Drosophila melanogaster: one gene and its partner. The protein of the gene in region 1 purifies or fractionates together with the protein of each later gene. This does not show direct contact. Each region holds a gene or a part of one and is shown on either strand. Other genes may lie near its edges.

The links. Proteins that work in one complex are often made in the same cells at the same time.
Region 2: the proteins of stck (region 1) and parvin purify together in Drosophila melanogaster (affinity purification with mass spectrometry, with the first as the bait; 2 studies listed by BioGRID). This does not show direct contact.

The regions. Positions count from the first base shown.
Region 1 is NT_033777.3:8,355,056-8,362,231, reverse strand, and holds stck (steamer duck), read right to left. Parts: upstream 3,905-7,176; 5' UTR 3,851-3,904; coding exon 3,828-3,850; intron 3,762-3,827; coding exon 3,642-3,761; intron 3,584-3,641; coding exon 3,278-3,583; intron 3,224-3,277; coding exon 3,082-3,223; intron 3,026-3,081; coding exon 2,767-3,025; intron 2,703-2,766; coding exon 2,506-2,702; 3' UTR 2,272-2,505; downstream 1-2,271. Other genes in the region: veneno, read left to right, coding at 1-324, 551-1,432, 1,490-1,668, 1,726-1,931, 1,986-2,137.
Region 2 is NC_004354.4:19,744,273-19,748,958, reverse strand, and holds parvin (parvin), read right to left. Parts: upstream 2,919-4,686; 5' UTR 2,771-2,918; coding exon 2,650-2,770; exon of another isoform or gene 2,472-2,649; intron 2,318-2,471; coding exon 2,228-2,317; intron 2,149-2,227; coding exon 1,877-2,148; intron 1,710-1,876; coding exon 1,089-1,709; 3' UTR 501-1,088; downstream 1-500. Other genes in the region: Alr (augmenter of liver regeneration), read right to left, coding at 1-46; CG33932 (uncharacterized protein), read right to left, coding at 3,406-3,852; Rpp20 (ribonuclease P protein subunit p20), read right to left, coding at 3,854-4,204, 4,278-4,430.

The sequences.
Region 1 (7,176 bases):
TCTCCCAATGAATATTCCGTGTTCCAGAGCGACAGGGAATCAACTTTGGAGGGGGCCTGTTCGTTAAACGCTGACAAATCTGTAGTTGAGGCGTCGCCAATACCCCTCAGCCGTTCACCTATTCTTCCGGATTTGCAGTGCAATAACGCCGGCCGTTCCAGCATCATTGCAGCCAAAGATGATATTCCCGTTTCTCCGCCAAAAGCGATCATCCCGCCCAGCGGTGCTATGGTATACATTACGGACTTCATATCCAGTAATCGTTGCTATATTCGCGATGCCAGCGAATCTGCTGAAAGAGCGTTTGACGAAGTTTGCAAGAAGGTTTGTTATATATGGAGTCAAATTTCTTCAATCCAAGAAAATTCCTAAATTAGAAGTAAAATGCGTGCATGATAGCAAATTCTATAAATGAATATTATCAAAGAAATAGTGTTGCGTGTAAAACTGTATACTATTTGGATACTTAAATACTAGCAAATCGAGTTTTTTTTTCTAATTCTACTGTTGACGAGACTATTTCGAATTAAAAAGTGTTGTATCTTCACAGGTTAATACCATAGCTACGTTATTGCCCAGAATAAAAAATCCACCACCAAATAGATTGTGCCTAGTCCACTTTAATGGCATGTATGTGCGAGCGAAGATGTGTAAGAAGCTCCGTGAGGTTTCCCACTTATTTTTGGTCGATCTTGGAATCAAACATTCTGGACCTTTTTTCGATTTTAAGGATATCAATGATGAGTTAAAAGCATTGCCCTGTTCCAGCCAACTGGTGCAGCTCAAGAATGTATTGAATTGTGACTATTCCAATGATGTCATTGCCTTCAACTCGAAATTCGTGGGCAAGAAATATATGGCAACCATTAAAAAGTGCCCTGGATTACACCTCGTGGAACTAGTAAACACGGAGATGAACTTTTCGGTAAATGAACAGTTAAACGCATTTTTCAACAGTAAGAAGTTGCTACGAAACCCTAATTCTGCGGCCGAGAATATCAAGTCATGTTCCTTAGAAGGTCCGCAACCTTCACATATTGATCAACCCATTGCAATTCCTGCAATCGAATGTAAGAAAATGTTAACGAAACCAGAGGTACAGAATGAGTGTGAGGAGATACTCAAGCAACAGAACTCCGGACAAATTGATCAATCAAAATCAACTAATGTACTGGTTACAGAAGGAGCCTCTAATAAGATGCTTGGCTTTATTGATCTTGCTGATAAGGCAACTAAAACTGATCAGGACACTGCACCAAAGCCTAAAGATGAAGACGTAAAACATTCCTTAACACAATGCTTAACACCAAAAGCTAATTATCCGTTACAACTTCCAAACCATAAAAAAAATTTGGAACTTCCCGTTATCCATAAAACTAATGCCCAAACAAATGGAATCGTAATGTCGAAAAACGAACATGTCCTAAAACCTGTGAGTTGATAATATAAATTCTCATTGAGAGCCACATTTTATTAATTTATTTATTAGCCTTTTGAGATGCGTAGATTTTCAATCGAATCTAAGGAAGGCATTGATCTCATCGTTGTGGATAGTACAAAAAAAAATCGAGGTATTTTTGGGGCCTTTGACAGCACCTACGCCTCCGAATTTTCCGCCTTGCACTCTCGTTTATCAGAAATTACAGACTGCGAGCCTTATAAGCCAGTGTAACTATACTATAACCATACCAATGTAAGTTTATATTTAATTAACATTTTTGACAGTGTCAGGGAATATGTGCTTGCCAGATTTGAGGGTTCCTGGTATCGTGGCAAAGTGGAACAGATTATAGTTGTTCCACGGCAGCAGACAAAGTACCGGGTAATGTACCTCGATTACACGAATGTAGAGGACATAACCGAAATGGATATCCGTCGCTATCCATTAGACTTCACCGCTCCCTGTGCCACAAACCTTTGCGTGATTGACGGTATGGATATTAAACATTTGTCTTGAGCATAACATTTGAACAAACACTTTATAGAATTCCCGCACAACCCGAATGCAGCACAGGTTTCCTATCTGGCTGAGGTTTTGAAGGTCCATCAGTCAGTTCATATTGATAGTATCAAATATATCAACCATATAGCCGTAATTAAATCGGGAAGTCTTATTCAGAAGCTGTTGAGCTTGTAAATTTTAAGTGCATCAAATGCCATTTACTTGACACCACAACTAAATCGGGTCAAACACATTACGAAGTTATTGCGAATAAGCATTACGTTTTATAATTTTAAAAACATTTATATATAAATAAAATTCCATTAAATAACAACGTTAAAGGCTTTTAATACACAATGTTATGTTCCCTAGCTATTGATGCCGTTGATTCTCGATTTAAAATTTAAGTTACACACAACCGGATTACAACAGACGGAAAGGACATGCACAAGAGGTTTTAGTTTGTTTGGTTTTAGTTTCTCAAATGTTAAAAATGGTAGTGAAAGCGGGTCTACAACGACAAAGGCACTGTTTGGTGTGGATCTGAGACTCGCTCCAAGGCATTAGGTGTTCTTTTTCATTGTCATCTCGTGGGCGGTGCGCAGACGTCGTCTGAGTTCGTTTGGAAATCGGTCATAGCACTTTTTGCACACCGGCTTCTCGTCGTACTCGTAGAATTTCGATTTTTGTGTCATCTTCGTGTCGCACACGGAGCACGCAAAGTGGTGCACACACCAGGCCTTGTTCAAGGCAGTGAAAACTGTTGGCATTATGGAATGAGCGCATTAAATAAACCCAGAATATAGTTCAATTAAGTTACTCACCATCGCCTCCAATAACCTGGTTGCAGACGAAGCACAGGTTGCCAAAGAGCTGATGATAGTGCGTCTCGCAGTAGGCCAATCCCCGCTTCTCGTAGTGTCGGTGACCCAAGAAGGGTTTCTCGCACTTGGCGCACACGAAATGTTCCACATGCCAGTGCTTTCCGAGCGCCGTTACCACCCTCTCCTCAATCGGACGACGACAGGCACCACATATGGGAATGCCCATTTTATCGTGACAACGCAGACAATACAGTTCGTTCTATAATGGAATAATAATTCAGTTGCTTCTTATTTGCTAAAGAAAAAAAAACCCACCATATCGTTAGCAGCCAATCCTGGCCGGCTCTTGACCTCCCGAGCAGTGGAATCCAACTCTGTGCCGCAGGCCGTGCAACTGAAGTGATAGCCGTGGTACACTTCGCCCCGGAATCGCAAAGGCTCCTCGTCGATGAGGCCGCTGAAAAGCAGAGTAATTAGCAACATGTTTTCACCTAAAGCCTTTGAAACCTACTGGCATTTTTGGCATACATAGCGGCCGGTAATCTCCGCCTTCACCTTGGCATTGCACTCGTGACACAAGGCGCGGTTCTGGTTCTTGATGAATCCGCAATCAGCCAGCTCCTTGGCGCACAATTGGCAGCGGAAGCACTGTGGATGCCAGCTAGCTGACATGGCCTTGATGACCCGTCCGATGACGAACTCGCCGCACTTGTTGCAGCAGGGAGCGAAGAGCACGTGAAAGTCGCGTTCACAGTACTTACGGCCCTCGAACTCGTAGAATATCCCATCCTGGAAGGGTCGGAAGCACTGGGCACATCTAGAAAATGTTTATTAGTGAGGGTATTAGTGAAACAACTACATTGAGGTTTACTTACACGAAGCACTGGGTGTGCCAGAGTTCTCCATTGGAGTTAACAATCTTCTCAGTCGGCTCGAAGCCGTCGGCACATCGCGTACAATGCATGGCACCCAGCGACATGTTCGCTGCCTGGACTCTGTGAATTAAGAAGAAGATCAGGATCAGTTGTTGGTAAGTAACTAACCAATTCAGAGGCCATTACACTTCAGCCTTAGAGTACATCATGGTTATAGCTTGAGCGCAAAGAAAAACGACTTTAGGGCAGGGCGTGAAATGAGAAACTGGACAAAACAATGAGACTTATCGCTTGCCGGCTCTGTTGACGATGTCTGAATCATATTTCCTTCGAATGCACAGCCAAAAAGCTTTCTGGCATTCCGTGGAAGTTTAGCTTTCATTACAGAGAGTGTCGCATGGCAGTTGGATATCAAGCGTGATACGCTGCAGATGTGATGGCTTGGTGATATATCGTTTCGGAACAGGTTATATATACATATATAAAATATATACGAAGAACTATCATATTCGCTTTAAGCTGGATAACAATGAATGGCTATAATGAGTAATTGAAGTAATTATTACAAGCAGGAGCGCCATTTGAAAAGTTTGTATATAAACAATATATATAATAAGATGTAACTATCAACTCCCCATTACTGGTTGAGTCATTGAACATTCCTTGGCCTCCAAAAGGGGTTACAAATTCAAGCATCCAATTGGAATTGGGTTTGCCGCCAACACAACAGCGGCCCACTCATCATAATCAAATCCGACGAATACACACAAAAATACGAAGAGTAAACAATACACAGACACGCACTCTCGCACAAACACACACACACACTCGAGTGGCGGCGTTTAAAAATAAATTTGAATATGACCATGACGTCATCGATGGAGTAAACATCTGGCAGGAAAATTGCATTGAATGGGGGTCCAAAGCACCACCATCACTGGCAGAGGGTTAACGCTGGATTAGGGCATGAATGATAGGCACTGCTAGCCTGAATTAGTTATATTTTTTTATTAATTAGCGAAATGCTTATTTGTGCGAATGGATAACGATGATTATTATGCTGCCAAATGATGCAATATGTGGGCGTTTTGAAGACAAGGACGTTAAGAAAGTGGGGCGGAACATTCTGCTTACTGCACGGGCGGCATTCTGTGGGCTTTTCTTTTTTAGTTGCTTTCAACTGGTTTTCACTTGCGAACAACGGCACCTGTTGCACCTGGTGTACAACGTTTTCTGATCACGGCGAGTGAAACACTGCAAAAACATATAGAAATGATCAATCTGTGTCTTTTGGCTTTAAGCTCTGCTCGCTTGGCGGCCTTCTAGCCAGATCCGGTTGATTTTCAGCCAAGAAGACGATCTGCGCAGCGCTATCGCAGCACAAAAACAACAACACCTATATTGCCAAAATGGGCAAATCTCTGGAATTTCACGCGTTTCACTTAAGCATGTTCACATTTGAAGAATTGCATTCAACGGAAAAAGTACTTTTTACCTTCAGAGAAACCTTTTTAATTAAAGCCACAGTTTGCTGCAATTAAATTACTTTTCATTTAACTAACAGCTTCCGTGGAAAAAGACGCAGAAAAAACCACTCTACTTTATCACTAAAAAATCCCTGTACAACCTGCCTATCGATAGCTCTTCTGTTCTCGAGGCAGGTAGCCCTGAATGTCAATCGATAAACACCCAATACTACTGGGCGCCAATTTAAATTCGCTATTAGCCTATGTTACCGAAATACATCAGTTAAAAGAACTTTACGATTTAAGGCGCCACGCTTATCGCAGCGTGGCATTTTTGCTTCTTTGTCTCACCTTCTTATCAGCTGCTGGCCAACTGCTGTTCTTCTTCGAAACAGTTTCGTAACGCGCTCTTATCAGCTTACTGCCTCTACTTATAATTTCACGTACTATTTGTTTGTAAACAAGACCGGTTCGCATGCCAATTTAGGCTGCAGGCAAGAAATCCCTTTAGCATTGAATTTGATTGATTTTCTTTTTGCTATGTTACACGCCAATTGGGGAAATACATAAATAAATGTGCAGGGAAACTATAAAAGAATTCAATGCCACAAATGTCATAACAGTTTCGCTGATACTTATCATTAGAAAATATGTATTGATAAGAGAATCAAGAGCTTGTAAACTTGCTATGAAACCCACAATCACTATGAAATGAGTTTCTTTTTAAGCAACAAAAAGGAAAAGAAAAGTTTTACAGGTGTAAGTTATTTTTTCATATAATTCCCGATCGCCAATAATTTAAAATTCTCTACAAAGAGCCAGCATTTTGATGTGCCCACGGAACATGCATGTAAATGCATTATTTGTTTGCTTTAATTATTTTCCCGAATGTCTGTTTGCGGCAAACTTCCGCCTCGTGGGTGTGAGGGTCATATTTTTGAAACACCCCTCGCCGACTTCCGCGATGTGAACGGAGATAAAACTCCAGCTGCAGTTTCAGAATTTGCTTTATTTGTATCTGAGTATATATAGTATAGTTTTGTATTGGCTGGTGTTTTATGGAGCGTTGTCCCGTTAAAACGGGTTGCCAAGCGAATCGATCAGCGCGGCGCTCTTTGTTTATCAATCTCACTCTTTTGTCAGTCGCCTTTATTTATTATTATTAAATGAGTTTTTTTCCAGCATAACAAAAAAAAAACAAGGTGTCCCCACAAGGCCGCCGGTTGTGCGAGCGAGACGAACGAACAACAAGCGTCATAAGAAAGAGATCCAATACCATCCACAATCTAGCACTGAAAAAAATGTAACCCCATATTACAGCATATGTCTTACTTAACTATTAAATTATGCTGTTGACAAATAAATTTGTGTATTTTAACGTATATTCTTAACGCTCATCCAGAATTTAGTTCTTTTGAACGTTTGCTCTGACACAGTTTGGCTTCCATTTTTTAGATACAAATACATTTTTTGTCAGTATTCACTGTCACACGCTTGGAAAAAGGTGGTGGAACCTGGAAGCCGGGGAACTGCGAGACTTTCGGCACGTAGCAACGCGTAGCTGTAAGTTTATTACGCATGATTTTATGCTGTTGTTTACCAAAAATTCGCCAAGGCAAGCCCCCCATCCACATTCAAGCGGTGACTCGGGCGTATGAGCAACATGCTGAGGCATATGGAAATCGGCGTGGAATGTGGAAACTTTCAGCGGATGCAGTGCAGTTGCAGTGGGTGTCTAAAAATAAATGCAATTATGCTCTGTATTATTGCAGCTGCGTTCCAAAGCCGGCAAACCAGATGGACAACTGGTGCTGGTGCTGGCAGAGAAGCAGTTGAAATTTTTTCAAGGGGGTTTTCCATTTAATCATTTTCAATGTCATTTCAATGCATTGCAGCAATGTTTCGATAGTGTTATCAACTGCAACTAATGTAGTATATATGTAATAACAATTGGATCTTTGATCTATTTAGAAAGTTCTGGAAACTAGCCAAGTGGTTTTTTGATCTGATGATGTTTTCTAGCTAGACCAAATATTTTATTTATATGGCTCTCATTACTTTCAGACGGC
Region 2 (4,686 bases), on another chromosome or scaffold:
TGAAACTTCGCTCGGCTATTGTGAAAATCATAAAAAGCATGCGCATGGTTGCCACCTTGTTTCGAAACGAAACACATAACATTAGGACATATCTGGCTAAGCGGCTTAGTTAAGCGGCTGCAATCAACGCAAGTTACTAAATACTGGCTTTTAGATTCATGGCCAACATCTGGCCAAGGACCAAAATCCGGTCAGCAAAGTAACATTTTCAAATTATACCGGCCAGCAATCGAAAATCGATGCGAAATCGTTCCCGAACGGGAAGCGATCTGGCAGCCTGCTCGCAGCTGTGATCGATACCAGACCGTTGCGAGTTGCGCGCGCAACCGCGACAATTCAAATAGCACAGCGTTCAGAAAATTACTAAGGTTTGTTTCTCAATCAATTCGAGACGCTCGAAAGAACTTACATGTGAATAGGATGGAAGCTGGCGTTTGTGAGTGCTGCAGCCCCAGATAAATTTTGCGCCTTGGAACTGTTTAAAATAGAATAACACATATGCTATTGGCAATATTTATTGATTTTTCTGATCCAAATTTTTAACGTACACAATAAAATTTTTTTTTAAGACTTTTCCGTAAACTTCTACATTTACAGCGTTAAAATCTGATCTGTGACATAATTTGCAAAAGCTCTGTGTGATCTAAAGGCACAATCTCGGTTATTGTGTTCAAATAATGTATTAATACAATAAATTCACTTAGTAACAACTACAACGTCTGGCACGTGAGTAAGACAAGTTAACAACTGGCCGCCGGATTTTGGGTTTGGGTTAGCTCTGCTCTGCTCTGCTCCTTCCTGTTCCGAGCAATCTGAATCTGGAGCAGATCGCAGTGGTTAGACGTACGACACATAAATATATATATATATATATAAACATTCCTTGGGCTGATTATACGCGACGCAGCATTTAGTTGTGGTTTTGAGAGTTAGGATCAGTAAGCTTTAACCGCTGCATCGCCTACAATCAGTTTCGAGAACGCACATAAATTAGGCGTGTAAACACTATCAAAAAGTTAATATAAAATGTAAAATTGGCGCCGCTTGTTGCTCCTGCAACCCGCTGGCTCGTTCCATCCGGGTTTCACTCAGGCGAAGTCCCTGAACATGGTGAACAGGCTGTATAGGACGCGCAGGGTGGACTTGAGGTCCATGTTCACGATGTCCTCCGGCCGCGCCTTTGGTTTGGGCAGGCCCACGTCCTGCATCAGGTCGAAGGCGAAGGCCACGTTGCTGACCATCTGATCCACGTCCTGCGGCGTCAAATGGAACTCGTGCAGCGGCACAAAGAATCCACCGAGCAGGCCCATCAGCAGGCACAGGTATACGCCGTCGCGAAAGTCCGTGTTCAGATCGCTGATCTCAAAGTTCAGCTTGGCCAGGTGCTTGTTCACGAACGTGATCAAGGACTTCTTCACCACGGCCAGCTTGTCCGGCGCACAGTCGATCAGCGTGTCGAAGGCGTCCTTTTCGCAGCGCATGCCCAGGTCGTCGTACTCGGACGTTATCTGCTCCTGGAACTTCTGCGCGTTCAGCACGCCCGCATTCTTCTCCGCAATCACGACGGTCACGAACACGTTCTCTGGCAGGCGAACGGGCGCCCGGAAGTGACGCACCAGTGCCACCAGCAGATGTAATATGGCCACAATGTTCTTCGAGTGCACGCTGGCCACCGACCACTTGGGAATCTTTTGGTGAAAGCCGAGTGTCTGTGGGTGTGGGCAAGGATAAAATTTATTCTTATATCGCGAGAAAAGGGAATGTTAATTGTAAATCGAATAAAAATTATTCTATTCGACTTTAAGAATGGATAAATAATTAAATGTTGGTAACTCCGATTTTTAAATCCTGCAAAACATAAACTACTACTACTTACATGGTTGACGGCCTTCAGGACGATGTTGAGCTTCTCGTGCTGGCCCTGCTCTGACTGGGTGACCTCAGGAACGTCCAGCTTCTTGCCGGTGAGCTTCTCCCACAGCTTGTGCAGCACCTGGCCGTCATACATGTCCTCTTCCAGGTGCTGAACAATTATGCGCTGCTCGGCCAGCTCGTCGTTGATCCAGTCGACGAGGATGCGCTGCAGCTTTATCACCTGGGGATCACTGATGGACTGTGGATCGATGACGGCGCGCTGTTCGTGCTCGCCTGTAGGATCAAATGTGATGAGTTGTGGGAAATGCGATGGGTATACGAGGAGATGCCCCTTCAAAACGAATGCACTTACGCAGGGCATAGTCCTCCGGCGGGATGTCATACTGGCTGGGCGATCCAGGCGAGTCGATGGCGTACTTGCCCTCCTCTTGGACCTTCTTCACTGCAAATGGAGCAAGCGGATGCGTATTTAGGGTATCAACAAGGTAAACAAAAACGGTGACGACACAAGGCCATCTCACACAAACGCACACACTCTCGATTATCAGCGCCGTTTGCTTGTGTGGGTCAACAGTGACGCAATGTTCTGATTAATCAGCGCATCCGCACATCTGTTCCCAGAAGAGCTTCCAGTGCGCAGGGGGAGGATCCATTGGGTCATTTTGGGCCACTTTTCGGAGGTTCAGGGGTCCAAGAATGGAATACTCTGGGATACCCATCAATTCCTGGCCGACAATAGCCATCTGGAGAGCTCCAATCATCAAGTGGACTTACCTTCGCGGGTGCCGCGTTTGCGGCCCAAAGTGCTGAACTTGTCCCAGAAGCTGTCCTCCTTCTCGCCCTTTTTAATGGCGGTGGGCGTGTGCGGGGATTTAGGGCGGTTCAGTGTGGACATGGTGCTGCTGGATTCCAAGAATTCCGGACTAAGTGAACAGTTTGTGTTATTGTTTCGATTCGTTTCGGGCGGAGCTGAGCAATCAGTTTCCCTTGGGGCTGCCACCTGATCGCAGGCCCACCACACATGTTGTCCAACACTGGCGTTCGGACTCAAGAGAAACTTCCAAAAAAATCGAATAAAAACTAAATTGCCAATTATAAAAATTGTTTAAAAAGACCTTAGATTAAATTAAAACAATGAGCTTAAATGTTATTTTTCATTTATAATTTAAAAAAAATGTGGCTTTTGACAACAACAGCTAGAAGAAATTCATATCAGCTTAATAGTTTTTGAATTTGTACATCAAATTAAATTGTTGGAAATTTTAAAAAAATTATAATGCGTAGATCATTAGATCATTGATTAAAAAGCACAACAACATATGTATGTATGTATGTCCTTCATACCGAATCAGATCAGATATAATTCGTATATATTAGATATGCTATATCCAGAAAGATAAATTTCGTACCGCTTAAAAATTATTGTACCACATTGCGTATACAGATAACTACCAATCCAATGATTTAAAGGCTTTCAGAATAGTTACATATATGTATAATACGGAACTAGGGCTATACTACGTCTATGGTTTAGATGGAGTTGGGCAACTGGCAGGCGCGCACAGCCACGAGCTGCAACAGAACGAAGATCGGCGAGAAGACCTCCGAATACTCGAGGCCCGTCTTGCTGGATAGCTTCAGGCAGAGCAGGTACTTGAAGATGGCGATGAGCACCAGGAAATACGTGCTCCACATGAAGCGATGCAGGGCTTTGCGCTTGTTGTTAGAGTCCAGGTACATGCGGATGCCCACAATGACGCAAAAGTACGCGTTGCAGATGTCGATGAAGAACAGGGGGCTGAAGACGGTGAACCAGTCGCCCATGGGCTCCGGGAGTATGCCACCGGGTCCGGCCCTGGCCTGCAGATGGAGCTTGACGGTCAGCGTGATGGTGAACACCAGCAGGCCGCACAGATTGACCAGAATCTCGAACTCGGTGAGCCCCAGCCAGCGCACCAGCTCCGAGAGTTTGAACATGCTACTGCCTGGCCTTCGCCTTGCCTCGGAACTGGCCCAGGGACTGGGCTTGCGTCTGGGACTGCGACGGTTGCGGCACGGCGATGTCGAAGAGACTGTTATTGAGGATCTTGATGTGCAGGGCCGAGTTGTTGCGCTGGCGGAAGGTTATGTCCTCGGCATCGCACAGCGGGTGCAGTTCGTCCACCAGCTGAACGGTGGAGGTGTTGATGGCGTAGCTAAGGGCGCCGTCAGAATTCTGGACGAGGCGTAGGGCGATATTGAGGCCGCGGGTTACGGAGAAGCCCATGCAATGCAGAAAGATCTCGTGGGCGCCGGAGTTAATCAGCTCCTCGCAGCGGCGCTGCTGGGCCTGTCAAGGAGATGGACTCTGTCACTTAGCACATGGGCGATTCACCATCCAGCATGAGTTCAGTTCTACTTGCCTTAAAGTCTGTCTTGCTGGTGATGTAGATGTTGTGGCGGTCGCTAACAGCGGGACGCGGCGGCTGCTTGCGCACCACTCGGTGGTTCTGTTGTTTGTGGTATTTGGCGGATCTCGGCTTGGTCCCGTGCTCGGGATAATTGCTTCCCATCATCAGCGGCGGAGGAGGCGACTTGTGTTTTCCATTTACCTGCGCGTGTCGCAGTTTCGGACTCGCGACTCCATTCCGAATCGCACGCTGGCCAACACTGGCCAACTCTAGCGAACACTAGGCAATAGCTGAGCGATCTGGCAGCCTGGCTCTAGCTGTCACCGTGACAGCTCTCGATAGTTTTGAGCCAGCCCATCGCTATAGCTATCGCCAGGCTCGTGAGATTCTCGCCAGTTGAAAATTTTTCGTCGTACTCTCG